Linked DNA regions of Caenorhabditis elegans. The protein of the gene in region 2 purifies or fractionates together with the protein of the main gene of each other region. This does not show direct contact. Each region holds a gene or a part of one and is shown on either strand. Other genes may lie near its edges.

The links.
Region 1: the proteins of daf-1 (region 2) and bra-1 purify together in Caenorhabditis elegans (affinity purification with western blotting, with the first as the bait; one study listed by BioGRID). This does not show direct contact.

What each region holds. Positions count from the first base shown.
Region 1 is NC_003284.9:13,596,394-13,600,149, forward strand, and holds bra-1 (MYND-type domain-containing protein), read left to right. Parts: upstream 1-2,055; 5' UTR 2,056-2,077; coding exon 2,078-2,146; intron 2,147-2,235; coding exon 2,236-2,352; intron 2,353-2,399; coding exon 2,400-2,606; intron 2,607-2,839; coding exon 2,840-2,998; 3' UTR 2,999-3,294; downstream 3,295-3,756.
Region 2 is NC_003282.8:130,354-134,109, forward strand, and holds the start of daf-1 (Cell surface receptor daf-1), read left to right. Parts: upstream 1-2,062; 5' UTR 2,063-2,097; coding exon 2,098-2,143; intron 2,144-3,522; coding exon 3,523-3,609; intron 3,610-3,756. UniProt on the Caenorhabditis elegans protein: Probably involved in a TGF-beta pathway. May be a receptor for TGF-beta-like ligand daf-7. Controls the decision of whether or not larvae enter a developmentally arrested state, known as dauer, in response to environmental conditions.

The DNA of each region.
Region 1 (3,756 bases), on a different chromosome or scaffold from region 2:
TTTATGAATTATCTAACAATGTAAGTCATTCTATAAACGTTGTCATCATACATCATACCACTTTTGAACTATCTGTTTTATCCAGCTTGTAAAAATCAGGCACCTCTATTTGAAATTTTTTCGTACACAAAAAACTGTTTTTAATAAATGATTACATAGGCACATTACGCGTCTTATCATATGGTTGTTAACCTGTTCAGCAGATAGAAAAATTGATAACAACGGAAATGAGTCATGTAAAATCGATCCGGCCTAACATAATTAGCCGAGCTCGGAAAGTTCCGCAAATCTACTTTTTTGAAATTTGCCGAGCCCGGCAAACGGCAAATTTGCAGCACACCTACTCAGATAAAGATGAAGCCGATTAGGATACATCAAGCAGATCAGTGCAGAAAAAACTGATTGTCCCAACCGACTTGAGTATCTTCGGAAGTCAATTATAGTCTAGTTAACTTAGTTAACTTAGTTAATTGTCTAGTCAACTGCAATCCACAGTCGAAAAAATGCTCACATAAAAAAGACATAAAAAATTATCACATTTTCCTAGTTTGTTAAGCACGGCAAATATTAAAAAACGATATTTGCCGAATTTTCCGAGCTCTGAACTGTAGAACTGAACTGTACATTATCACCCATTACTACCCTTCGTTTTGTTTCATAGGATCCAACAAATTTGGGCGTCAAGAAAAGAGAACGAATTGCAAAAAAACTGCAGCGCCAATATTTTATGGTTCTCATCTTTGCGATATTTTTATGTGCACCGCCGCCCTCATCTATTGCCGCGTTGGAAGGAAAATATACGATATTCAATGCTTACTTCAAAATTTATTCTGGATATTTTTGAAAATCTCGCAGACGTGTTCAGTCAGCATTCGTGGTTGAGGATATCGAACACAAAAAAAGATATCATCGATCACGTGTGATGACAGATTTTCTGCGACTAACAGGTTTGCTTAATAAAAGTTACTAAAACGCTGAAACTTCTGGAAATCATTTTAATACTGTTTTCTTAAGATATCTTTGCAAAACTGGAAAAATACCAGAAGATAATCAAAGTCAGTCAACCCTCTCTGTACATTTCTGTCACATTCCTTCTGTTTTTCTATTTGGTGCGTAAAAAACGAATATTGTTTTAAAAAACAATATTTATCCCTAAAAATTTCCAACAAGAATTTCCACATATTTCTCTTGATATTCAATTTTTCAAAATTTTCGGCTAGCTGGGCTCTAATTTCCGTTAGTCACAAAATCTCATTTCCCGTTTTGCGAAGCCCTTCAAGCTTCAATAATACACCATTTCAGCCTACGAGAATCATAAAAATTTTATGATTAACTACGACGTAACCAAGGGTATCTGAGCTTTTGGGGCAATCTTTTGAGATTTCAGTTTTGTTTCCAAAATGTAATAAAACATTTTCCCAGTTTAAGTTTTTTGTTAAAATTTTAATTTTTTCCTGTGTCGCACAGCAACAAGGCTTATAATTATAAGAAAAATTTCTAAGAATACGTTTTCAAAAAACTCATTTTTTCTTGATTTTCTTTTTCAAATATTCATTCTCAAATTTTCCATATCCACCCGGAAATTTATTTAAGTGCGTCAAACACAAATTCAAATTCTTCCTTTGTTTTGTAAATCAAAAAGTCAGATACGTCACAACGCATTCTGTTCAAAAAATGTAGTCTGTGAGCAGGTGACCAGAACCTTCCATCTCTCAATAATCTCTTCTTTATCCTTTCATTAGACTGCGCAACGCCCTCCGGCTCATGACCACATATCGACTCGCCTCATGGGCTCATTATCTGCCATTTCCTTTCTCTCTGCTCTCTCTTTTGCTTTACCTCTCCGCTATCTCTCTACGGTCGTCATTTGAATATTACCTCGAGACAGCAGACGGCCGTCTGCTCAGACTGGTGTAAACCAAGAGTGCCGTAATTCCGGAGCATCGTTGTATCTGCGTGGAGTTGAGGGGTTTTAAACGCTTTTGTTATTTTCTTTTTTATATCGGTGCTGACGAGAGTTTTTATTTTTGATTAGTTGATTTAATTTTTTTCCAGAGAAACACAGTTATTTACAGAAATGTCGGAAGAAGCTGAAGCTGGACCATCGCCAAAAGTTAATGGGGAAAATGGAAACGGAACAAATACGGTAAGAGCTTTTTTTTTTGAAAAATATAACAGAACAACTTTCACTAAAATTTTTCACCGGGAAAAAATTAAAAAAAATCATCTTTACAGTTCGACGACTTGTACGTGGATGACAAAATGCGTCGAATGATTGTCGACCTTCAGCGTCAATGGCTCACGGATTATCACGATAGCCGCGAGAAATCTCTCGTTGCTCTAACTGAAAAAGTAAGTCAACCACCCCAAAGTTTTAATTTTAGAAATCTATATTTTAGCTCCATCAAGAATTCATGGAAGATCAGGAGCGAGTCCGTCGCGATTTGTTGGTTCAGTTCAAGATAGAGCTCGACCAGACAAAGGAAGAGCTGGAGAAGAAGCACGCGGAGAATCTCAAGGAGGAGATTGAAAAGCTGTCGGAAAAACACCAAAGGGAACTTGCTGTCGCTAAGAAGAAGCAGTGGTGCTGGCAATGCAACAGCGAGGTGAGATTTTATGATTTTATGATTTTTTGATTTAGACGGGTTCTCTATTTAAAAGATGTAGAGTGTTGCCAGATATTTCAAAATCTCTAACATCAGTCTGAGTCGTGATACCAATGTTCATAGTACTATATCTTATTTGTAAGCTAATTTTCTTTCGAGCATGAAAATAATTCTTTTGCGCTCCAGTGCTGTATTAATAACGCTAGACCTGAAACATCATGATCATATTTCAGGCAATCTATCATTGCTGCTGGAACACTGCTTATTGCAGCGTTGAATGCCAACAAGGACACTGGCAGATTCATCGCAAGTTCTGCCGCAGAAAGAAGAGCAACGGTGGAGCCCCAGGACCAGTTCAGCCAATTGCTGAGCCTACTCAAAGTCAACAATGATTGAAACTTAAATAATATGCTATCTGCGAGCCGGAGGCCCTTTGAAAAGTAACAAAGCTTGTGTCAGGTTTTCGAAGTTTATCTCATCACACATCCCGTTTTCTGTGTTACTACTGTATATCTTCTCTCCAATAACATGCAATATTTTTCTATAATCCCATGACAACAACAATTTTAAGATCTTCTATATAAATCCTGTTAATTAGGAATTTGGATCAATTTCGGAGAGATCTCAAACTTGTGTTAATTCCTTCGAGAAATAATCAAGAAATTATGTGAATAAAGTTTATTTTGATACACATGTCCTTTTGGATACTGTAAATGTGAAAGATGACAAAATGAAAATGTTCCTAGACACTTATGGGGATCAAACGTGTTTTCACATCCGATGTGTATTGTATAAATGTAAACAATTAACGAAGATATGAATTGACATAATGAATTGAGAGTTATTCAACCTCTGCAATTAAAATGAATATAAACTTCTCTGAAAAACTATTTCAGAAAGCACCCAAAAATTCAAATTAGAAGGAGTGCTATGAAATTTACACGGATTGTACAACAAATATACTTTGTTTGAGTTTCAACAACGAAACGAATAGAAATTGCGATTTGTGAATAAATGAACATCGTTTGAGTATGTTTAACAACTTGCGATGCGATAATAATAGTAAATCTTGCTCAATAATGTGTAAGTGCTTTACTATTCATCAGACCGATTCCTAAATAAGGTTTGTCGATTTTTCAGAATTTTTCCG
Region 2 (3,756 bases):
ATGGAGAATTATGTCAAGTTCAGTTGTTTACACATTTTTTTGCAGAACCACTCCCTCTGTGTTCTCCATCTCTTTTTTTTCATTGTGAAAAGTGTGTGCTTCTCAGTATGAAATGAACTTTGTTCGAAAAATTTTAAAATTGTTAAATGACAAGGCTTCCACAATTAAATTTGCAATTTTTTGATAGTTTTAGTACCCACGAGAATACCGTATTTCTTCTATTAGTATGGCCTCCCTATTAGACTTGCACTCCCTATTAGTATTGCCCCTCGGAGACCTTCCTTTTCTGAATTTTTACATAAGATTCGAGCTTTTTCAGAAAAAAAAAACTAGTAAGCTGAAAGTCAGAAAAATGTTCTGAAAATTAGTATTGCACTCCCTATTGGGCAAAAATAAAAAAAGTATTGCAAGCGGGAAGACTATCGAAAAATAGTATTGCAGCCATACTAATAGAAGAAATACGGTATAAGCAATTTAAGATTTTATGCTATCATTTACTATATATAAAGCGCTTATTCCGTTTGTCCATAGTTTGTAGTCTATGTAGTCTTTGTAGTCTGCGAAGTTTTAGCTTCTGGAGGGATATAAAAAATGGAGGGATATAAAAAAAAAATCAAAAATTTATTTATTTATCGATTTTATGAAAAGTTAGCAGGACCGCGTAGACCGGTACATATAGGCTAAGAAGCTATTTTTAGCAAAAATTGATAACTGTCTTGTGAAAAACATGTCTGTAAAGTTTCGTAACGAAAACTCAATCGGTTGCTCAGAAATGAGCCCAGAAGCCTTATGGAAACAAAAAATAAGGAAAAGCTTAGTACAAATTCATCTCTAAAACGGTTCAAAAAAGTCCGAATCGTATGAAAATGCACCAGAGAGTGACATTTTGTGTAATTTACCATATTTGAAAGTTTGGTAAAAATTGGAAACTCAGTAGCTTCAAAACGAGCTTAAAGGTACTAAAATGTGAAAATTAGAAGAGTTCATGCTTCCGCTTGTTTCCATGATATGAAATCAAAAAATACACTGGTAAAACAAGTGAATGAACGTTATTTAACTTTTTAAAATTTTGACACTTTTCGAAAAAATCGAAGTTTTCGTGAAAAATTTCCAAATTCTCGAGGTGTCCCATAGCAGTTGGGCGGTCGATTTTTTAACTTTTCGCTCGTTTGCTCTCAATTTTTCAGCAATCAGAATAAAATTGTAGGTACATAGGTTTTTTGGTATGCTGAATCCGATTCCGATACTAGTTTTCCATGAAAAAGTTCGAAAGTGTCTGAAACCCTAAAAATTAGGGGGTGTCCCATAGCAGTTGGGCGCACTGTATATGCATCCGTTTAAAGTTTATTTTCTACTAGCCAGCACAGTCCATAGAGTTCTAAATAGCGTTATCCCGTGCTGCGAGGCTGCCCCATTTCGTTTTGACCTACAAAAAATGCGGGATTTTTTTGCCTAAAAATATGACGTCAGCACTTTTGTAATCATGCAAAATCAGTTGTGAACTCTGCGTCTCTTCTCCCGCATTTTTTGTAGATCTACGTAGATCACGCCGAAATGAGACACTCTGAAGTAGTTTCTCCAAAAACCTCACTGAAAAATTTTGTGCAACGTTATCTGTATAGTTACAAATTTTCGATGTCTACTAAAAATATTGCAAATTGAATTATAAAGAGTTGGTCAGTTGAGAAAATGTTTTCCCATCCTACTCTCTATATCGAGTTATACATTGTCAATCTCATATCCTACCTAATTCCAAAATAACACTCAATTCAACAATAAAAGAAAGTCACGTGGCAACGCGAAAAAAAAAAGATAAACAAGGAACGTCTTCTTCTTCTCTATTCAATTCCATTCATAGTGGACTAGGTGAGCCGCTCGTCAGTATCTGCTCACCGTCTGCGTCTCTGCTTGGCTCTTCTCTTTCTCTCCATGTGCTCCGGCTCCCCCTCCTCACACTCAACCACACACACACACACACGTATACATATCTTCTTATAGTTTTGTTGCATGCTTCATCTCTTTTCTCATCTTTTGCCTTCTATGTACTTTGCTTTTTTTCCAGATCTCCTGATGAACTAAACTCTTGGGAAATAAATTATGAGGATACGGCACGTGGTGTTCTGCCTGCTCGCACTGGTTTATGGTGAGTACTTTGAGGTTTTGGTGTTTGATAGCAAAAGTCATCAATCTATTTTTCGGGTTAATTGGGTTAATATAGGTATTATTATGCAGCTAGATGATGATTTGGTTCTATCTAAACAAAAAAGTGCAATTAAAATCGAATTCTCACTGGTTTACATAAATTTTTAGTTATAATCACAAATTTAATAGTTTACGCTCTATTTTTTTTTTTGACAAACTAGATATAGTTAAACATATTTGAAATTTGATCCAATATCCAATATAAGTGAAATCAAGTTAAGGTTGTTAAGTTTGATATATGTAGTAGTAAATATATAGAAATGTTTTTCATATCAGGTTCAGCCAATCATATTCGAGTTGCGTAGTGCTTATGCAGTTGATAGGTTTTTTGGTATAATCTAGTTATGTTGTAACTCTAAAAAAATTTTCTAATTATCATCACGAATATGTATATCGTTTAAGAAGTTAGAAAAAAACACTGATTATTTTTTTATTAGCTCAAAAAGTATGTATTAGTCCCATTTAGCTGGCTTTTAGAAATTCGTGTTTAATTTTGATTAGTTTGACTATGGAAATTGTTTGAGCCCAAAGTTAAGCAATTTATGTTATTGCAGATTAGCTGCAGACTTTTTCTATTAGAATAGAATCTTATTACATAGTTATTATTGCCTAATTTCAGCTATACAAAATGCGACTTATCAACTTATCATTTTAGTTGTAGTTGATCGCAGTTGAAGAAAATTGAAATGTTATTATGATCTTAAAAAAATACATATCACTTTAATTATGAGTGACTTGAAATTGCTATTTTTTATTGCAATTCATAGTTGATATATGTTCAAAAAAGTCAACAAGTTAACTGATTTGCTGATAGTGAATATTAAATTTAGCGCAATGAGCAATTGATGCAATTAAATGTTAGTTGCAGTTTTATTCTGTTAGTGGGTATTTAGAAAATAGCTAGGTGCAATTTAAACTAAATTTTCAACAATTTAGGAATTTAAACTTTACTTTTTAGTCGCATCACTTATCTAGGCACCCCACTTTTTAACTTTAAAAGCGCCTAACAATAAGTATCTAAGTTGTCCTGTATTTTATTTTAAAATTGCCAATTTGTTAATTTTTTCTCTATATAATTAATTATCTATTGATATTTACAAAATGTGCCGAGTCCTGCCCTTCCAAAGGAAACTAGTGGGGTGCAATACCAATAGAAGAGTACAAAATTTACAGAAGTCCAAAATAATATGCATCACGGTTGAGAGCTTTTTAAATTTGTTATCAGTATTTAGGCCTTGGCTCAAACACATCATAAATTGGTACCTGTGCAAGAAAATTAACCAAATACAGCTTTCTACGACCCTTTTCAATTTTTTCCAGGCGCCGAAACTTCCGACGATGATCTCGACGAACGGACAAATATCTTCATCCGTGATAAACTGATTCCGGCGTTGAAGCTTGCAGAAGGTAGTTTGTTTTTTTGGACTCAACAGAAAATAATCGCCGGCACTCAAATTAGATGGCATTTATCGTCAGAAGAAGCTTTGGGCAAAATCCCCCGGTAGCAAAGCAAAATAATTTCGTTCGATCAAACATTAAAAGAGATTTTCAACT